Linked DNA regions of Ovis aries. The protein of the gene in region 2 interacts with the protein of the main gene of each other region in a pairwise test. Links are inferred from orthologs where the notes say so. Each region holds a gene or a part of one and is shown on either strand. Other genes may lie near its edges.

What was found.
Region 1: the proteins of PHAF1 (region 2) and ATXN3 interact in binary tests that used the Homo sapiens proteins (3 or more experiments, as listed by UniProt). The link is inferred for Ovis aries from reciprocal best matches to the Homo sapiens genes PHAF1 and ATXN3.
Region 3: the proteins of PHAF1 (region 2) and BCAS3 interact in binary tests that used the Homo sapiens proteins (3 or more experiments, as listed by UniProt). The link is inferred for Ovis aries from reciprocal best matches to the Homo sapiens genes PHAF1 and BCAS3.

What each region holds. Positions count from the first base shown.
Region 1 is NC_056071.1:54,595,038-54,598,683, forward strand, and holds part of ATXN3 (ataxin-3), read right to left. Parts: intron 801-3,646; coding exon 636-800; intron 408-635; coding exon 363-407; intron 1-362. UniProt on the Homo sapiens protein: Deubiquitinating enzyme involved in protein homeostasis maintenance, transcription, cytoskeleton regulation, myogenesis and degradation of misfolded chaperone substrates.
Region 2 is NC_056067.1:34,324,489-34,328,690, reverse strand, and holds the start of PHAF1 (phagosome assembly factor 1), read right to left. Parts: upstream 2,813-4,202; 5' UTR 2,573-2,812; coding exon 2,509-2,572; intron 1-2,508. UniProt on the Homo sapiens protein: Plays a regulatory role in autophagic activity. In complex with BCAS3, associates with the autophagosome formation site during both non-selective and selective autophagy.
Region 3 is NC_056064.1:12,004,492-12,008,847, forward strand, and holds the start of BCAS3 (BCAS3 microtubule associated cell migration factor), read right to left. Parts: upstream 2,858-4,356; 5' UTR 2,679-2,857; coding exon 2,621-2,678; intron 1-2,620. UniProt on the Homo sapiens protein: Plays a role in angiogenesis. Participates in the regulation of cell polarity and directional endothelial cell migration by mediating both the activation and recruitment of CDC42 and the reorganization of the actin cytoskeleton at the cell leading edge.

The DNA.
Region 1 (3,646 bases), on a different chromosome or scaffold from region 2:
ACCCAGGGAGCAAAACCGCGTCTCCTTCATTGGCAGGCGGATTCTCTACTGCTGATCCATGAGGGAAGCCTTTGAAATACTGTGACTTACTGGAATTACATTTATTAGCACACAGATTCAAATTAACAACCTCCTTTGAAAAAGGCCTTCTCTAAAATGAAGAATCTACTGTCCTAATTTTCATGTGTAGCTATATAGAAAACTAGTATTCTAAAGGATAATCTTATACTCTTATACTCAACCTACTGGAGGAACTTCTGAAGGTCACATCAATAGGTGACTTTGAAAGGCTGTGAAAAGCATATCCTGAGTTTACTGCCTGGGATATAAACAACACTTAGCACATGCTTGTGACTACTTACTTGAATAGAGAAAAAGCCACTGTCATCCATATTTCCAGAAGGCTGCTGTTGAATTTGGAGAGGTGGTTGGGGCAGAGATTGAGGGTGGGGAGAGAAGGGCAAAGTGTCATTAGTGTGTGCATTTAAAATAACATCTTGTGCATTCCCGTCTACAAAGCCGAGAGCTGGGTTATAATTAACAAGTCAGATCCCCATTGGAAGAGCAGCTCATCCCTTTCTAAACAGTACCCACATTTTTTAAGAAGTGTGATTTAGTGAGTTTAAAATTGGTACCTGCAAAAATGTGCGATAGTCTTCACTAGTAACTCCTCCTTCCGCCATTCTCATCCTCTCTTCCTCATCTAGCTGATGTGCAATTGAAGACAATTCCACAGGGCTGAAGTATTCTCCTTGTAGTAGGTTATTCAAGCAGTGTTGAGCACAAAGTGAGCCTTCTTGCTAATATTTCCAAAAGAAAAAATTCAAATGTGATTTGTAAAACAGATTTGTACAGTATCTTCTCCAAAGATATGTAATCATTAACTTCCTAACACAGCCAAACCAAACATTTTTAGCTTTAGAAAGCATGAATAACCCAGGTATGGGCATTTTCATTTGCTAACATTTATTTTATAATGAAACTATAATTATATGATCAGTTATATGGTCAAACTTAATGATTTATATTAAACAAAAATCATCTATATAAAATCTCATATTTTACTAAAAATTACTCTACAATAAACATTTAGCCTCCCTCATTTTCAGTAGCTAAAATAACTTCACTTTTGGAGATTCCATGGTAAATTACTAATGCTGAAAAGAACATTTAATCCCTAGAACATTTGTTCTTTCAACAAGATTTAAATGGTCATTCATGGGATGTTTATGTACTCCATTTAATGAGTACATTTAAATGTTCGTTCATGGAGTTTCAAATCCATGAACAGATGAATCTCAAGAACTGACACAGTAAGACAAATTCTGTTCCATGTTTATGGAGACGTGTAGCTACAAAAATGAGGCTCTCTTAAAGAAAGATAAGGCACACACTGTGGTGTAGTGAGCAATACTGTCCAGAAAATCATGCTTGGAGCTCACTTCTAAACAAGGCAGCAAGGAGACCGCATGCATCCCAGCTTGGGTCTCCAAGGGATCGCTGGCTTCCTGTTATGAGGGTGGGAAGAATACAACTTTCTACAAGCCCCAGGGTCTTCAGGCACTGGGCAACTGGCTTTCTCACGCTGCTGGCACCCAAACCTAAACTCAGGCTACCTTCAACTAAGTAGCCTGAGTATCACCCGTCTCCCCTCAACAATGCTGCTCTCCTGTTTCCCTATGAGAAGGGAGACTCATGGGTGGATGAGGTCCCTCCCTGTGCACCCAGCACCGGACTGACTCCAGGGGATGATGACAGTTGGGAGAATACCTTCTCCTGCTAATAACCCTGATGCTCTAAGTTATCCATTTCCCTAGAAAAGTCTATTCTTTAACCCAGCCTGTCTGACATCCTGCAATTTGTTCTGAGCTATGTCTCACAACAGATCCCCAAAGACCAACACCATGCAAGACACATCTTTTTCCTGATTTCATTTTCTGGGAACAAAATTCAGGAATGCAGCATCGAGACAGTCTGGGTGTGATCTAGGGGGCTGAGACAAGTTTATCTTCTTATTTTGGTGCTGAATACACAGCTTGAACTTAACGAAGGCACTAGCTACCCCTCAAATCATGGCTACAATAGCGAGAAGAGGACTTGTCTGCACCTTTTTCCTTCAACTGTATTTCTACTACCAGAAAGCACTGCCCACCGAATAATATGTGAGTTGGAGGGAAAGACCCTGATGCTGGGAAAGACTGAAGGTGGGAGAAGGGGATGACAGAGGATGAGATGGCTGGATGGCATCACCGACTCATGGACATGAGTATAACTACACTCCAGGAGTTGGTGATAGACAGGGAGGTCTGGCGTGCTGCAGTCCATGGGGTCGCAAAGAGTCAGACACGACTGAGCAACTGAACTGAACAGATGTCCTACTTATACTCTAATCAAAAATGGGCAAGACAAGCAAGTACTCACAAGAGGATAGCCAATGGATTAAAAAACACAAAAGGGGGCTCACCTTCATTTACCTATGAGAGGAATGCATATTAATGTTAACAGTATGTTATTACTACACACTCCAGAATGACTAAAATGTTGGAGAGGATTAAAGACATCAAAACTGTTTCACACTACTGACGAAAGTGTAAATTAGTATAACCACTTTGGAAAACTATCTGGAGTATCTACTACAGCTTGCCGCTGCTGCTGCTGCTAAGTCGCTTCAGTCGTGTCCGACTCTGTGCGACCCCACAGACAGCAGCCCACCAGGCTCCACCGTCCCTGGGATTCTCCAGGCAAGAACACTGGAGTGGGTTGCCATTTCCTTCTCCAATGCATGAAAGTGAAAAGTCAAAGTGAAGTCACTCAGTCATGTCCGACTCTTAGCAACCCCATGGACTACAGCCCACCAGGCTCCTCCATCCATGGGATTTGCCAGGCAAGAGTACTGGAGTTAACATATACCAACCCTATAATCTAGTAATTCCACCATTAGGTACATAGCATAAGCAACAGAAATGCATACAGATGTACATCAAAAGACACGTATAACAATGTTCATAGATGCATTATTTGTACTGGCCCCCAAACTGGAAACTACCCAAATGCTCCTCATAGTCCAGTGGCTAAAATGTGTGATATTTACAAAGAAATACTATATAACACACTGTGTAACAATGAGGTGCTCAGTTGCCACCCGAGTCTTTGTAACCCCATGGATTGTAGCCTCCCAGGCTCCTCAGTCTGTGGAATTCTCCCAGGCAAGAATACCGGAGTGGGTTGCCATTTCCTACTCCAGGGGCTCTTCCTGACCCATGGATTGAACCTGGGTCTACCTGCATTGCAGACAGATTTTTTACCATATGAGCCATCAAGGAAGCCCTATTATATTGGCCACCAAACTGGAAACTACTCAGAGGCTCCTCCCAGAAGTATGGCTAAATTGTGTTACATTCACAAAGAAATACTATATAACAACATACTATGCAACAGAAAATTAACTATATAACATAACAATACTAGTGAGTTAACTACAACTACCTGCAACAAAATGGGTAACTCAATCAGTGTTAAACACAGTTCAGTTCAGTCTCGTGTTCGACTCTTCGCAACCCCATGAATCGCAGCACACACAAGACAGACTCAAAAGAGTATACTCTATATGATTCCATTTACAAAATCTCAAAACAGACAAAACTGA
Region 2 (4,202 bases):
CACTGCCTTTGCTCCACCATTGGTCAAGCCAAGGTGGTACCAGCAAAAGATTCCTCTCTGCCTAGGCTTTCTTATCTCTGTGTTGTTCCCTAATCTCCTAACAGTACAAAGGTCAGGAAGGCAGCCAAAAAGCTGGATGCAGCTCCTCACTGTGATGCCAGGCAGATGAAGGCAAGAACTGGATACATCTGCATTTGCACAGATGCTAAAAAGAAACCTGGAGACTAAGCTGAGCCAATCCTCAGAAGGGCAGAGCAGTGAGAAGCAGGAAATCTCTACTAGGCTTCTTTTTATCCTTTCTACCTTTCTGAGCCTGTTCCTCACCTGGCAAATAGAGATAACCTCACAGGGTTGTGGTGACTTTAGCCTAAGAATATAATTCTAAAGCACAGATTCACTTCTTAGGCCTATCCCTACCTATCAGCCTAAATTTCAGCTTAAATGTGTTAAGGGCTGGTAAGAAGACTGAGAAAGAGGGAAAATTACTTTTTAATAAAAAGCTTAGGGAAGTTAAATGACCATCTCTCAGGCAGACATAATACAAAAATGTGGATTTTTTTGGCCATGTTGCACAGCTTGGAGCCTCTTAGGTCCCCAACCAGGGACTGAACCCCAGCCCACCGCAGTGAAAATGCCAAGTCCTAACAACTAGAAAGAAAGTGAAGTCGCTCAGTCGTGTCCGACTCTTTGCAACCCCATGGACTGTAGCCTACCAGGCTCCTCCCTCCATGGGATTCTCCAGGCAAGAGTACTGGAGTGGGTTGCCATTTCCTTCTCCAGGGGATCTTCCAGACCCAGGGATCAAATCCAGGTCTCCTGCATTCTAGGCAGACGCTTTAACCTCTGAGCCACCAGGGAAGCCCAATCACTAGATCGCCAGGGAATCTCCCCTAAGTGCAGACTTTCAAGACAGAAAAAGGAATCATCAAGGCTGATGTTCATCAGGCTTATTCCCTGTATGAGCTTTCCCTCAAAGTTCAGTTCTAGGCCCAACATACAGAAATGCTCTTTTCACTACTTGTGGTTGGTATTTAGACAGCCTGAAAGAACTACCCAAATCTTTGATTCCTAGAAACTGGAAAACTTTGGAGTAGGGGTTAAAGTATCACAACAACACTTGATAGAAGCAACCTTACTCTCCCACCTCATTTTTTGCAAATCTCAAATGATACTCTCTACTTTTGACCCAGAGACTGTACTTGTAGATACACAACCTAGTCACACCATCAAGCACAGTTTGAACCTATAGTCATAGTTTTCACTCTGCCCTGTGAAGTCCTGGGATGAGAAGCTGTGTTTAGGGGAGGTTCTTTCCTAACTAGAAGCCAAACAGCATCGGCAAAACAAATGGGCCTGGAGGCAATGATATCATTAGCCTGTCAATCAGGTTCTTGGTGCTTCGCAAGAACCTGAAGTGTTTCATCCCAGTTAAGTTATGGGAGAAGGGGGCTGCAAATTCTCAACTGGCTCCTACAACCCAGAGGCAGCTTGCTATTCAGTTCAGAGACACGAGCACCAGTAGAATTCCATTAGCAAATGTGTTCTGCAGTTTCTCACCTACCCTATCTCCATATACAGGAGTCTTCCAGATTCAAGGATAAACTATAGCCCAATGGAGCAGCTGATTCAGTCCAGTAGCCCAAATTAGTGTGACAAAAGTTCAGGCCTGCACAAACAAACAGCACAAACACCTGCTCCCCACCCCCTTTTCCCAGTGCTGGAACATAAAAGTAAACACACTCTGGGGTTACTGAATCCAAATACTAGTACACAGAAAGGTAGCGACATTGAGGAAAAGGGGAAAACATGGGCCAAATCCCACAGAATGCCCAACCTGCATTTTTACAAACCAAATGTTACTTTACTCAAACTCTTATATCATTCAACCATTCACTCTCTCCGCTAAAGTCTGGGTTTAGGATTACACCACACATCGACATTAAAAACGAGAAGGAAGCTAGTCAGCAGTTGCTTTAAAACACAAAAACTCTCCTCAGTTCCCCTGACTAGCTCCCCAGTATGTGACGATGAGAACGGTGCCTAGGTTTCTCCTTCCGGAGAGGCTACACAAGGCCCAGAAAAGCAAAGGGAGATGAACTACCGGAGCAGTATTTAAGGATGTCAGTCACTCCTTAGCTATTTGGTCTGTAAAATGGGTACAGAAGTAACAATCTTAGCGACCCTCAGGCCTCCCCGGAGGCAGCCTGATATAATCATGCACCGGAGAACAGGGTCAGGCCATGTAAACGTTTGGGGCGTGTCAGCCATTGTTATTATTATTATTGTAGCACTGCCCCGGGAGGGGCCCCGCCGAAGCCTGATGCAAAGGCGTCAGGGCCCGGCTGAGCGACAGGCTGCCAGGTCGGGGCCGGTATCTAGTGACTGGAGTCCCAAAGAGTCAAGGAGCCGCGGGTGCAGGGGAGTAAGGGGCAGAGCCCAGAGATGGGAAGGGCAGGGAAAGAAGGAAGGATCAGCGAGAAGGGTCGTGGGGGAAGACTCCACACTCACCCAGCGCGAATTCCCATTGCTCGTTTCCCAGAGAGCGCTCGGGCACCACCTCCAGATCCAGCATTGGTTCGGCTCTCCGGGCCGGGGCGGCCTCCCTGCGGCAGCGCAGACGGGACCGGAGCTTAAGAAACAAAGCAGCAGGTGACTCACCACCCCCGCCGGCCCTCGACGGCCCGGCTCTCCACCTCTATCCTGTCGCCAGCGCTACTGGCCCCACACTACACCTCACCTGACCTCACCTCACCTCACTTCACCGGCAGCAGCCTGGGGCAGCGGCGGCAGCAGGAGCGTCTGCGGCAAAAGTGGCGTGCAAGGCCGTAAAGTGTGGCGGAGGCGGGGCGAAGGCGGGATTTCAATCGCGGGGGCGGAGCTAAGGCGGAGTCACTCCCGCGCAAACACCGGATAGGCGGTTGCGACAGTCCTGCAAAAAACACAAAGGCCTGTGAGTACCTTCCGGAAGTGCGGGTGTTGGAATGAGGAGCATCACATTCCGTGCGCCCCGACATCCGCACACCACAGTGAACACGTTTCACAAAAGGGTGCGTGACCACGCAACACATACATGTAACATGGCTATACAGAGCCTCTCTGCCGTCTACATGTACGTCCCACTCACAGTCACTGAACGCAAAAGGAGTTCCGAGAGCGCACAGTCTGAGGCCCAGCGGGGAGGGAGGATGTGGAGCCTCAAAGCTCAAGCCGCCCCAGCGCCCTACCACTCCCGGTTGGGGCCGAGACTGACGGTGGCCGCAGCTGCCTCTAGTTGTCCAGAAATGATTCCTTCTCCCTGCGGCCCCTGGGGCTTGGGTTGAGCTCAAAGCAAGCGAGGAGTGGGTTCGAGTACTTGTGTTGGGGTGGGACAGGGGTGGGGAAGTTGAGGGAGCGAACTAGGTTAGAGAGTAGCTAAATAGCTGACCTCCTTCCGCTGTGCACAGTCCCGAGGGCTGCAAGCCGAAGACTGCTGGCAGCCGCTCAGACTCTGCCCGAGCACCGGCTTTGCCGCCAGCGCTGTGTGGTTTTCATCAAACCTATGGTGCTTTTTGTGCCTGTTTCCTCATTTACAAGTCGGGAGTAGGGTGTCCTCCAGCCTGTTCAGCCTGAGCTTCTGGCCAATGCCCTGGGGCACTCTAAAACTGAAAGACAACCAGGTTTCTTCTGGAGCTGACCCTTCATGGACGGAATCTCTGGATTCTCACAACCACCCTGGGATGCAAGATTGGTCCTATCTCACTTTACAGGCGAGGGGGTAGGGGGTGGGGTTGGGGGAGAGGCCCAGAGAGGCTGAAGGCCTTTTGGTTCGAGGGGGTAGAATTCAAATTCTTTCCATTATATTGCCCCTGGAGGAAAATGTTTTTAGCAGAGAGTGACATGTTGAATTCTTAAACTGGTTTGGTAGGAGTGTAACATGGGAGATTCTACCAAAACTTGAGGTCATTTCTACTGATAATAAAATAAACATGGAGAAAGCTATCCATTTGCAACATCCTATGCCAAAAGAATAAAACTGAGTCATTAAGATGTCCAGGCTTCCCTGATACCTCAGTTGGTAAAGAATCCACCTGCAGTGCAGGAGACCCCTGTTCAATTCCTGGGTCGGGAACACCTGCTGGAGAAAGGATAGGCTACCCACTCCAGTCCATCAGTAGAGAAGTGGCTAACTATGATACATGTGTTAACAGGACCCTCCTCCCTTT
Region 3 (4,356 bases), on a different chromosome or scaffold from region 2:
GTATAATTGCATTGTCTATTTAGCTAAAATGTAAACTCTTTAACAGAAGGGATTGTTTGTGTTTCATTTCTATTTCCCTTAAGACTCTATTCACTAACAGGAAAAATTAGGTGTCAGAACCCCAGCAATTTATCTTACAATTTGGAGCTGGCGTTTATACTTAAGGACTTCCCAGGTAGCTCAGTGGTAAAGAATTTGCCTGCCAGTGCAGGAGAGACAGGGTTTGCTCCCTGGGGTGGGATGATCCCCTGGAGAAGGAAATGGCAACCCACTCCAGTATTCATGCCTGGGAAATTCCATGGACAAAAGAGCACGCATAGTCCATAGGGTCACACAAGAGTCAGACATGACTTACCAACACACACATACACACACATTTATACCTAAAGACACTAGAAATTAAAACTATTAATTGAAGACCAAAAATTAGTTTCATCAAGTCTTTTTTGATGCCCATGGCATAATTTATTTCCCCTTCACATGCATAAACTTGGATAAAGATTGTTTAAATCAATGAAAACTGAATCTGTAGTAACAGTTTTGAGAAGCTAAAAATTTAATATTAGGAAACATTTATTTAGCTCTATATACCAGTCATTGTAATATGTTTATCTGCATTTTACATGTGAGGACCAAGACTCGAAGATGTTAGTCCACTTACACAGTAAATGCAGGCACCGCGACAGAAGTGCGTGGTCCCTGAGCCTCAGCTTTCTGCCTGAAAAAGAGGAACCTCCAAAGAAAGGGAAAGCTCACGGAGACTCTGGAGAGGGGGCAGCTCTGGAAAGTGATTCCACTGAATACCTCAGGCATGAATCTTATCCTAATCAGCGTATCAAAGACTCTGAGAACTAAACTGGCGGACAGATCACTGCCCAGGTCCCCAGCTAGCCCCTGGGTAATACACACAAGGGACAGATAAAATTACACAACGGCAAAGGATTTGGAAAATGAATCGACTGAAACCACAACCCACGGAAGGTGTGTTAAAACATGCAGACAGGAATGGGGAGGGAACAACCTTTAAAAGAATGACCGCCACTGAAGACCCAATATAAACTAGTTAGAGCCAAGGTGGGGCCAAGATGGCGGATGGCTGACCTCCACTAGACCGTTAGCCTCAGTATGTGCTCATTGTAATACATCAGTGGGTCTTCCCAGGTGGTGCTAATGGTAAAGAGCCTGCCTGCCGATGCAGGACTCAAGAGATGCTGGTTTGATCCCTGGGTCAGGAAGATCTCTTGGAGAAGGAAATGGCAAGGCACTCCAGTATTCTTGCCTGGAAAATACCATGGACAGAGGAACCTGGTGGGCTACAGTCCACAGGGTCCCAAAGAGTCGGACACGACTGAGTGGCTGAGCACACACACGCACAGTACATCAGTGAGCTAAATGACTTGCTCAAAGACACCATGACAGTTCCGAGGCTGGCCATAAAAGGCCAGAAAGTGGGCAGTGGCCCAATTCCTGGAAATCCCTGCCCCTTCCCCAAGACAGTTGGAATAATCCTATCACTCATTACCCTATGAAATTACCCACCCTAATAAAAACTGACAACCCCCCACCTTCTGAGATGGCCCATTTTCTGTCTATGGAGTAAACCCCTGAATAAACCTTGCATTCTGCTATGACTGGCTCTTGAGTTCTTTCCCTCATGAAGCCAAGAACCCACGTTTAGCAGCCATCCCCGGGACTTGCCTGAGATGTGGCAAGTGACCATTCTCTCGTGCCCCACTTTCTTTCCTGTAACAGCACAAATTAACCAGATTGACTGCCTACTAAAACAAAAATATCAATGATCTCCATAAGAGCTAAATAAAGTGTCATAATAGTCAAGTATCTGGGATATAATCCAAAATTACATGGTAGGGGTTTCCGTGGCCCAGGGGTTGGGAGTCCACCTTGCAATGCAGGAGACAGCAGTTCAAGCCCTGGTCCGGGGTCCAGTGTACCACAGCTACTGAGCCTGTGCTCTGTAGCCTTCGAGCCACAACTACTGAGCCCATATGCGGCAACTGCTGAGCCCCACGCACTCTAGCGCTCACGCTCTGCACCAAGAGAAGCCGCCGCAATGAGAGGTCTGCACACCACAAGAGCAGCCCCTATTTGCTGCAACTAGAGAAAGCCCGTGCATAGCAATGAAGACCCAGCACAGCCAAAAGTATTTTCTAAAAATTACATGGTATACAAAGAACCAGAAAAAATCTCAATCCACATGCAAAAATTAACAGATGCCAATACTTTGATGACAAAGAATCATATCTGACACTTTAAAGCAAAATTACACAAATGCTCTTGCAAGCAATTATGAACACTCTTGACATGAATGGAAAAAAAGAGAAAATCTCAAAAAAGAGAGGATACAAAGAACAGAAAGGGTAGGGAGTCCCTGGAGAAAGAGAACCAGGCCTGGTTTTCTCGACAGAAGAGAAGCACTTTTGGCCCAAGCCATTTTGTAATCTAAGCCTGGCTGCAATGCGTGCCCTTGAACAGGTGTCAGTAACTAATGACATATAAGGAAGTAAGGGACTACAGGAACCATGGGAAAGCAGTCAATAGTTCAGTGATGAAAGAGTTCTAGTTCCTCCCCAAGGGGCGTATATAACTACCTGATACATACCCTCTGATACACTCTTTTCCGTGTCCCCCATTTCTTGTTTGTAGGAAACAGGGTTCATTCAGCCTCCTGACCTTCCCTGAGTTCCGCAGATTTAAACAGGTGGTTATTATCAGGGAAGGGAGGGGAAGCAGAACCGAAGGAGGAGCAGTCAAGAAATAACAGTGAGGCTTCGGGACAGGGTCGTGGTTCCTCCTCAAGGCATACACATTATTCTTTGAGCTCTTCAGTAGGAATGAGGCCCCACCCGGGTGGAGAATGGTATCTTAAGGGTGAGCACAAGATTCCTGGAGCCTTCTGCCTCACCACTGACCAATCAGAAGAAAGTCTGCACAGGGGAAGATAAGGAAGACACTTATCCCTCCTCCTCAAATGATTCTCCCTTTAAAAACTTTCATGGTCAAGCAGAATCTTCGGAGTTGGCTTTCGACACTAGACACTAGTCAGCCTTCTCCCAGGTTGCCGACGTCTGAATAAATCAACTTTTCATTTCCAACGAACACTCATCTCTTGAGTATGTTTTCAAGCAGCAAGCAGCAGAACCTGAGTTCGGTAACAGCAATAGCATCCTCCTGGGAGAAGAGTCTGGAGATTGAGGTAATAATTGATCATGTCTATATAATGAAGCCTCCCTGAAAATCCCTGGACTGTGGGCTTTGGAGTGCTTCCAGGTTGATTCACATACTCATGCACTAGGAGGATTCAGTTCAGTCGCTCAGTAGTGTCCGACTCTTTGCGACCCCACGGACTGCAGCACACCAGGCCTCCCTGCCCATCCCCAGCTCCCAGAGTTTACTCAAACTCATGTCCATTGAGTCAGTGATGCTATCCAACCATCTCATCCTCTGTCATCCCCTTCTCCTCCTGCCTTCAATCTTTCCCAGCATCAGGGTGCTTTCAAATGAGTCAGTTCTTCGCATCAGGTGGCCAAAGTATTAAGAGTTTCAGTTTCAGCATCAGTCCTTCCAATGAATGTTCAGGACTGATTTCCTTTAGGATGGACTGGTTGGATCTCCTTGCAGTCCAAGGAACTCTCAAGAGTCGTCTCCAACACCACAGTTCAAAAGCATCAATTCTTCAGCGCTCAGCTTTCTTTATAATCCAACTCTCACACCCATACATGACCACTGGAAAAACCATAGCCTTGACTAGACACACCCTTGTTGGCAAAGTAAGGCCTCTGCTTTTTAATATGCTGTCTAGGTCGGTCATAACTTTCTAGGAGGGTAGTGTAACCTAAATCCTTGGGACAGAACCTCCTACACTTGGGACCCTTCTGGGCTTCATCTGTTCATCTATAGCCTTTATTATATGATAAACCAGTGAACACAGTTCCCTTTGCTGTTCTAGCAAAGATTCAAACCTGAGATGGTGATTGTGGGACACTGATTTATACCAGCCAGTAAAAGTGTTCTATCTTTTTGCCTTTTCATGCTGTTCATGTGGTTCTCCAGGCAAGAACACTGGCGTGGTTTGCCATTGCCTTCTCCAATGGACCACGTTTTACTTAGACTGGAGGCTCCGTTGCTCTTGATAAACCACAACTTCCCCCAATTTAGCACCAAGACACTTGGCTATCCCAGTTCTGGAGGCCATGGAGCTGACAGAGACTCGGTAGCCAGTGCGGCCGGGTGTTCATGGCCTGGCAGGCAGCAGGGCAGGCCTGGGGGGCTTGGAAAGCAGAGGACACGGAGTGCAGGGGCCCTCAGCAGCAGCTTCTTGGCCATCATCTGGCCCAG